Coturnix japonica: one gene and its partner. The protein of the gene in region 2 purifies or fractionates together with the protein of the main gene of each other region. This does not show direct contact. Links are inferred from orthologs where the notes say so. Each region holds a gene or a part of one and is shown on either strand. Other genes may lie near its edges.

Region 1 (4,453 bases), on a different chromosome or scaffold from region 2:
AGTTTTAAAATAGAAAATGGGTATGTTTACTTAGTACCTTAACCATGCTACAAGAGTCAGCTGGCTTTGCTGAACTCCTTTCTCCTTGCTGGTTAGAGATCAATTAAAACACCACTCTGCAGTTTGATGGAGAAACTGCCCCAGTTCAGGAGGAAGCTACAGAGGGAGTGACAGAGCACAGAGCAGAGTCAGACCGAATGCACTTGAGATTACAGGACCAGCTGTGTATAAAAGCTTGTGGAAATGAAGCTCAGTAATTACTGATGCTTTCCTTTGGAATATTAGCTAACTGAACTGGTATTACTTATGGACAAGCAACTAGAATGTATTCTCAGAGTGCCAGACCACCAAGATGCTGTATTTTAAGCAGCATCCTTAGAACAGTGAGTTGATGAATGTACCTGAGAGGTCTGATAACAAGTACTGTCTCTTAGGAAGTGACAAGCTATAGAAGATCTTGATGGTTGCTTTCCATCTCTTATCGTAACACATTAACTACGCTGTTGGTGTTTAGTTTACTGGTGCCATAAAAAAATCCTAGTGTAATAAAGTGGGAAACCTCTTTTGTCTGCAAGTATCAAATATTTCTCCTTTCGGTTTTCATCTTCTTAAGTAACAAAGTCTATGGGAAGAGGGAGTAAAATACCCTGGTCTGAATTTGACGCTAGCCACAACATGCTTCTGTGCTAGTGTCATAAAGGAAGGGAAGCATATCTTGGTGCTAAGTCAGAGGGTGGATTTAGGCTGTAATTTAATGTGCACAGCAGCATGTCCCAATCAGCTTGAAAGCCTGTAGTTAGTCTCTTCTCAGAAACCACAAATGAACAGACTTTAGTTGAGGGTGCTCCAGTACTCAATGCAAACTCCATTTCCAAAGTGTGTGTTCTTGCATTCAAGTGAGAAAACTGATTCCTCAGTGATGCCCTCTACCAAATAAACCTACCTTGGATATACTTATTTCTTTTTATGCCATACCTAAAGTACTGCTGTGATGGCTTCTGGTGCTAACAGCAAGTTTGCAGGGTGTGCTCCTTCCTTCTTGGGAGGAGGAAGAAGTTCAAGTACTCCAAATATAAACCTGAGAGCTTCCCGGAGGATGTTTCTCTCTTCCTTTCTTATTGAGGGCACCAAGTTAACACATACTTCAGCACAGGGAGCAGAAGATAAAGCATCTCTTTCAAATGTACTGTTTTAGAATACACACTGTCAAAAAAAGGAAGCCTGAGCTGGTGGCTGCCTTACAGAGAATGAGGCCACATCTGGGCACGAACTGCTTCCTGTGTGGATGCTGTGGTGTCTCAGGGCTTTCTCTCATAAATGAGGAATGCCTGCTCTGTCACTTTCCTTCTAATACTTGCATATTATTCAACTATCTCAACTCAAGAAATCCCATCTATGCAATACATCGATAAATACTTTCCTGATTTTCCAATCTGAGCTATTGAGGTTTACCTTTAACACCAGGTCAAGAAACATTTTCTATTTAAGTTACCAAACAATGGAAGTGATTTTTCATCCATAGCTGGACACAGACCTTCATTCAGATTCTGCTTCTGGCAAAGCACGTGCACAAACCAGTAGAAACAAACACGTGAAAGTCTGTACCTTAAGTTTAACTCTCCAACCCTTCTCATCTCTACCAAAAGCTCAGTCTCATCTTGTCAGGAGCTTATGCTTTTCCTAATTACTCGCACAAAACACGCTTAAATTGTGTTTTGACAGCCAAAATCTTACAGCTCCACAAACAAAAAGAACTGTCAATATTACCAGTGCAGAAGCAAAGGAACCAGCTGCAGAACTAAAAGCTGGGGGGGAGGGGACAGTGATTCATAAGTTCAGCAAAGCATCTGCCAATAGTTTGATAGCAGCTGAATCCAACTGAGTAACTCAGATTCTGCTGCAGCTGGCACAGAGATTAGCAGCACCTCGCTGGCCAAAAATATGCTCAGGAATAACAGCATTGGAGCAAGAGGGGTATTCACTTTGGTTCTGTCCTTTCATTCGCTTTGGTTCTGTCCTTTCATTCGCTTTGGTTCTGTCCTTTCATTCGCTTTGGTTCTGTCCTTTCATTCACTTTGGTTCTGTCCTTTCCATTATGGGGGGAAAAAAAATACAGCCACTGGTTTTCTTGCCCCTTAAGGCCAAGCTGGCACCTGCCCACTATGCGCAGTAGAATCTGCTACGGTAAAATCAGCTGTACACATCTCCCACCCTTACACACACACAGACCTATGCGCTGAGCCGTCATTCCCCCCCCCCATCCCCAAGGTTGCAAGGCCGCACTCAGGACCCTCCGCTCCCACTTCTGCTTCACTGCACCGGCGTTAAACTGGTGCTCGCCCAGCACGCCAAGCGACAAGGCGCAAACTTTCATCGCGTACCGCAGACAGACGCGTTAACAACCGGACTCGGGCAGCGCTGACGCCTCAGGGCCCGGCACGACGCAGCAGTGCCCGCTCGGAGCCCCGCGCTGCCCCCGGCCCAGCGCCCAGAGGGACGGACCCGCAACGCGAGGCCGAGAGGGGGACGCGACACAACAGCCCCGTGTGTGGCAGAGCTGCCATGACAACCGCCCTCACACAGGGAAACCCCGGTACCCAGCCACCCCCCCCCTTTTCCCCCAGCCCCGCCCGCCCCCCCCTCGCTCCCCCTCGGTGAGGATACAGCTTGAAGCCCCTCAGGATCTCCTTGGCCCGCTCGTCCGTGGCCGACATGGTCCTGCCGCGCCGCGCCGCGGGCTGGGCGGGCTGAGCGGGCTGTCCTGGCTGCGCGGGGCCTGGCCGGGAGCGGCGCTGACAGCGGCGCCTCACGACCCCCCGCCCCGCCCCCTCGCACTCCCTCGCACCCGCCACCGGCCGAGGCAGCCAATCCCAGCGGCCGCTCTCCCCGCCCCGACGGGACAACCAATCGCGAGCCGCCGACGCCCCTGCTGGTTGATGAAGGACAGCGGGATGGACCAATCGGACGGCGCGTCCTCCCCCTCCGTTGATATAAGGGCGGCTGCGCAGCTTGTTAAGGCGCTGGGCCCGGCCGGGGCTGAGTGACGTCGGCGGGGACGGGAGGCGGCGCGGGACAAACCTCGCCCGGCCCCATTGGGGACGCGTGTCCGGTGCCGGCCGTTCGTTAATACGTTAACACGGCTTATAACAGTCTGCGTGCGGGACGACAACTGGGGGCTCCGCGTACACTGCCACAGAGCTCCTCAACAGCACTGCCACGCTGAGGAGAGAGAACCGCGAGGCGTCGAACATACGAGGGCACAGCCTATGAGTGCCATTAACGGCACAGCCTATGAGTGCCATTAACGGCACAGCCTATGAGTGCCATTAAGGCTGGCGGTGGGCAGCGCTGACCGCCCCGTTAGCTGACATGGAGCAGCCTTGTTGTGTTCTGGATAGCCCGGCGTTACCCAGTGCGTCCAGAGAAGGGCAGAGAACGCTCCCGAAGAAAAGCTGGCAGGGAGACAGGGAGAGCGCAGGCAGCAGCAGAGCTGGAGAAGGCCAGAGCGAGCGGTTGTGTGTGAGGGAGAAGCCTGCGGGGCAGAAGTACAGCATGCTGCTCTACCCACAGCACAGGGGGCTCCGAACCGCCCCGCTTAGGGCTACAGGGAGGTGGCAGCCAGACAGAAGCGGCTCTCGCAGCGAGCAACGGCAGCGAAGGGCTCCTGACACGAGAGTGTGCCCTGATGTCGGTGTTGGGGCCTTTGTGGTTCTGACATGGGTGCCCAAACTCTCCACGCTGTGTGAGGAGGTACGTGCTTGGCAGCCTCTGCGTCTCAGCTTCAAAAACCACCCATTTCCCCTCCTAAAACTAGGGAAGAAGCGTGTGGTGGGACAGTGTAACTCAGGAGGTTCAGGTTGGATATCATGAATAGGTTCTTCAATTAGAGGTTGGTTGGGTGCTGGAGTTCAAAAAGCACCCGCGCAGTGCTGTCAAACACATGATCTGAGTGGTTCTATGTGGAACCAGGAGTTGGGTTCAGTGGTTTTTATGGGTCTCTTCTAGTTTAGGATATTCTGTGATTCAGAGTGACAGAAACCTTGAGTTCTTTCCTCTCAAAATACTTTCTCTTGCAAGAAAATTGCAGCAAGTCTCACTATTCCCTTGAACCATTTTGTTCTAAAAACCTCACCTTTGCTTTTACACCTCTGGCAGGCATCACAGTCTCTGAGCTGTCACTGCAGGTGAGGAGACACCTCCAGCCTCCTTTCTGCCTCCCCAAAGCACATTGCAATGCTCTTCTCCAAAGGTACTGCTACAAGAGCTTGTGTCCCAGGGAGACGGGCTCATAAGCTGAGGTCTTCTCCCATCTGACACTTGATGGAAGGGGTCAAACAACTGCATATGTGCCACCATCCAGATGTGTCTTTCTCATGGTCTGCGTGAAGTGAGAGATGGTTAGCCTCTGGATCCTGGGAAATGTAGAGTTTAACAGAGTAGACAGTTGCTTTAG
Region 2 (4,435 bases):
TAATAAATACAAGATAATTCTACTGCTGCCAAAAGCATCTGGAGAATGATGTGCACGTACCTTCTGGCCTTGCATGTTCCAGGTGGCCACAAAAATTCCAATATTCCTATCAGGGAAATACCTGCTGAGTTCTTCTGCTCCCAGTAAGGCACCACTTGCCAGAAGGCTGCCTTCCAAATAGCTTCTGTGAACAGAAAACCCACAAAAGAGCATCATGATTGGAATACAGATCTAACGCTCAAACATTAAGGTAATCAAGAATAAACCTTTAGCTCATGAAAACAATGTCTTTATACACTATTCTGCTATCTTAATGTTTACCTGTTTATCTGCAGGTGTTTATCTGTTTAATGTTTATCTGCAGTTTTTAGAAACTCAAAGATAAGAAGTAATAGACGTACGAGAAACACAAAGCAACTCAAAGCAGAATTACTTTCCCTGTTATTACCGCCACCCACTCCTTGGATCACTGATCAGATTTGTCCCCTGAGGTCCTGCAGAGCACTGTGTACCTACAGCACACTGTTTTTAGCTGAGTACTTGGTGTCCTTTACCATTCAGCACACTTCCCAATCTGTGCCACATTTGTGCTGTGTGCTGGGAGGTCTTTGCAGAGTGAGGATTCCATACCTTAACAAGCAAAATCAGTCCCCCCTCAATCAATAACCTAAGCTTAACTAATTTATGAAGACAGCCAAGTTGAGTAAGAGGTCAGGGCCCCAGGAGGAGAAAGTGCTGTAATGAGACCCAAGATTATTCTATAAGAATAGTGCAAGATCTGAGACAGAGCGGAAATATTCCCATCTGTTAGCATGCACAGCTACTGCTCCTTATCCTTCAAAACAGCTTACTTAAATATTACAAGTAAACCAACAGTAAATCTTTCTCTTCTGAAAAACAATACACAGCCCAAAGGAGAACACGGAGTATTTGTACCTGTATCTGTACCAGTATTTTCATCTACAAACCATTTCCAGTCTCCTCAGTAACAACAGAGACCTTCAGTCACAAGTTCTCTGCCTCTGACCATCAGGGTTCCAACAAGGCAGCCAGCACCTACCACACAGAGCAGACTTTGCCAGGAGAAGCTGGGGGACGTACCTGCTTCGGACATCCTTGGAACGAATGGGAGTGAGCAGACTGAACGTAGATTTCATGGAGTCTGTGGAGCAATTATCATAGAGCGTCCCGTTGCCATGCAGCCTGGTGTCACTGAAGCTGTTGCTTACCCTCCCAAACTTGTGCTGAGAATAATGGCGATAATCCATTAAATCTGGGTCAATCTTATTTGCTGTCCTCAGCGTATGAGAGGCCACATTGAGCTCCATGGGCGGCAGAGGTCGAGCAGGCATTATTTGGGACAGCCTGGGTTTGCTGCCTGCAAACGCTTTCCCACGCAGAAGCCCACCAAAGGCACTGGAGATCTCGGAGGCTCGTTTCCCCAGGTCAGAAGTGCTTCCTTTGCTTTTCCCCATGGGACTTTCTTCTGAGGCATCTGGTGAACTGTGCAAGGAGTTTGGCTCGCAGCACTGAGCACACGGGGCTGCTCTACCCCTGATGGGAGAGGTAAGAGCTGCTTCCTGCAGGGAACCATTGGAGGAGCTCGTCTCGTTGGGATCGGTCAGACTTTCCTGACTAGTTCTAAACCTCCTCCACCTCTTCCAGTTCTTCTCATCCAAAGATGCAGCTCGCTCCAGCCGGGGTTTCCTGGGAGGCCTTGGGGTAATGGATTTAATTTTCACGTTAGCTTTGAGTTCATCTGGTAGAAGCTTTAAGGTTTCATTCAATAAGGTTTCTACGCGTGGAGGAGATTCAAAGCTCAGAACACCATTGCTGCTGGCTTCCTTCTTTGCTGCTTTGCCTGCTTTTTTAGCTTGCAGGCCCTGCACCGCTCCACCTTCTGCCTTCTGTGTAATGCATGTCCCTGAGTGCTGCGAAAGCCCATTGAGAGAACTCATTCTCCTCCCGGGTACCAGCTACGGGCTCCTCCACACATGCAGTTCCTCACAGCATAGCTTTCTTTCCCTTGCTTACTCCGTGGGCTTTAACAGAGCTTTAACCAAGGCAGGAAGATGTGGAGCCTGAAGATGGTTCAGTCTTTGGTTGAGAGCAATGGGAAGGTGACCGTGTAGACAGCTGCATTGTCTGTAAGATTTCAAGAGGTAAAACACATGAATTTTCCCCAAAAGAAACACGTAGGAACGAGAACTTCCTGAGCTGCAAAACTCTGGATTGCTGAATTCATCAGCTCCTCGTAGGTCCACGTTACAACAACTCAAACCTTACCGTGACCTTGCACCACCGTTATTCTCACCATCACAAGAGCAGGATGCTGATTTCACACCGTTATTTCCCTAAGAGCTCTATGCACCAGCAGCAATGACAGCGAGTTAAACCTGCCCCATCCATCTCTGCCACTTCTAAGGCCGCAGGGCAGCCCTGAGTCACAGCGCTCAGCTCCAACCAGAGCCACAGGACGGGGACATTTCCATCGGCCTCCCAGCACGGAGCGACCATCAAACATCCCCCACCCCGTGATAGGGACGCAATGCTGGGTTCAAGGCGATCCCTTTTAGCTCTTTAGGATCCATCCTCCATCAACACCCCGAATCGAGCAGCCCTGAGGCGGCCGCCACACACGCAGCCCCCCCCGCCCCACCAGCACAGCCCTGCGGCCCCACTCACCGCTGAGAGCAACACGGCCGCGCTCCCTCGCGGTGTTGGCCGCCGCCTCAGCGAGGCCCGGGCCCCGGCACTGCCAGGCGGGCCCGGAGCCGCCCCGCTCCGAACCGGAGCCGCTGCCCGAGGCCCGGCGGAACAGCAGGCCCCGCCGCTCGGCCTTAGCAACGGGCCCGCCCCGCTTTTGGAGTATCGCTACAGCGCCCCCTTGAGGCCGGAGGACTAAAAGGAAGAACCACAGGGAGGAGCGAAAATGTGAAAGTGCTCCAGAGCGCAAAATATCTTTATTTTAAAGAATTTACAGTGTCAAATCTTACACTTAGGAAAGATAGCAGCTCCCAGCTCAAAGGAAGCCTGCTTGAATTAAGATGGCTGGCAGTCTCTACTGAAAGGAGAAAGCTAGAGGGAGCTTCAGCCATAGGAAAAGTCATCACGCTGTGCCCAGACCAGGTTTTTTGCACAGTTCCACCCCACCAGCGTTTTCCATAACCCCTTTGGAACAGATGTAAGGCTATTGAGATCTCATGTACAGGAAAAAAACCAACCAGGGACCAAACACAGGCAGTTCCACAATCACATCGCTTCTATTCCTGGGCAGAAATTCAAGTAAATAATAATAAAAAATAAACAATCAAAAAAACCGATTTTCGGTGGTAAATTCTAAATAAAATATGGCCTAAGGATTTAATAAATATTTAAAGTTTATTTCTCTCTCTTTTGCGGATGATTCGGATTCTTCAGTCGATGTGGAAAGTTGCATATCATAGGTTGCGAGGTTTCCTACATTGAACCTAACCATTTTAAAGTCCAGCTGTAGAGGTCTGATCCACCTACATTTAGTACAACTCGGCTGTAAGCTACATAAGACCTTGGTTATCTTAGTAATGGAAAGTCAAGAACAGTTCTATGCTGATTCTGGCCTTGAAGAGGAAGAGAAACCAAACTCGCCAGCTGTTACCACCTCAACCATTCAGCGCCAGAAGCTCGAGAGAAAGCAAAGTAACCGTATTGCACTTCATAACACTCACTCATCAAATAGTACAGCGTCAGCTATTATACACAGAGCTTCTTTCAGACTATACAATTTGCTTTACAAGTAGTCTAAAACCACAAACTACATACATACGAGATAAGATTCCAAATCAAATTAGGATTAGATTACAGTCACAGTTTTCATTCAATATAGGTCGATTTATTTGGATGAGCTGTGGCCCCCCTTCCCCTCCCACCCCCCCCAGCACATGAGGCATTTCCCAGATGAACAACTCAAATTTCATACACTGATAAACCTGTTTTGTAAGCATTACAATTGTGCATGGTCCTCTTAAGGCCACAGAGTGTCATGGTACAACGTGGACGTGTTTTCTCCCCATGGGGAGGGGAGCATCCTTCAGAAATTAAAGAATCCCTGAAACTATGTCTCCAAAAGTCCCACTAAAAGGGTTAAAATCATTTGAAGGAATAAACTGCCATTGCAATTTATGAATGGTTTTTGTAACAGACAACAACTATTTCTTCCCTCGTGTCTATTCTTTATCACAGCGAAGCTATTTCTAGCCAGATCTTTAAAAGGAAGAGTTACATATATTCCACAGTTGGTAATGATTTATGGAGATGAGGTGCAAGCAGGGAGACCCATAAAAAAACCAAACCATCCATCATTCAATTACTGTCATGTCACCTGCAGCCAGATCTGATACCACGTGCTGTAAGACTGAACAGTTCTTCATATATCCAGGAGGTGAATGAGAACTCC

Evidence for each region.
Region 1: the proteins of INPP5E (region 2) and PDE6D purify together in Homo sapiens (affinity purification with mass spectrometry; 3 studies listed by BioGRID and IntAct, with this or other methods). This does not show direct contact. The link is inferred for Coturnix japonica from reciprocal best matches to the Homo sapiens genes INPP5E and PDE6D.

Annotation. Positions count from the first base shown.
Region 1 is NC_029524.1:13,401,806-13,406,258, forward strand, and holds the start of PDE6D (retinal rod rhodopsin-sensitive cGMP 3',5'-cyclic phosphodiesterase subunit delta), read right to left. Parts: upstream 2,832-4,453; 5' UTR 2,715-2,831; coding exon 2,665-2,714; intron 1,103-2,664; exon of another isoform or gene 1-1,102. Other genes in the region: COPS7B (COP9 signalosome complex subunit 7b), read left to right, coding at 3,370-3,750. UniProt on the Homo sapiens protein: Promotes the release of prenylated target proteins from cellular membranes. Modulates the activity of prenylated or palmitoylated Ras family members by regulating their subcellular location.
Region 2 is NC_029532.1:6,366,764-6,371,198, reverse strand, and holds the start of INPP5E (phosphatidylinositol polyphosphate 5-phosphatase type IV), read right to left. Parts: upstream 2,844-4,435; 5' UTR 2,686-2,843; intron 2,146-2,685; 5' UTR 1,959-2,145; coding exon 1,102-1,958; intron 185-1,101; coding exon 61-184; intron 1-60. UniProt on the Homo sapiens protein: Phosphatidylinositol (PtdIns) phosphatase that specifically hydrolyzes the 5-phosphate of phosphatidylinositol-3,4,5-trisphosphate (PtdIns(3,4,5)P3), phosphatidylinositol 4,5-bisphosphate (PtdIns(4,5)P2) and phosphatidylinositol 3,5-bisphosphate (PtdIns(3,5)P2).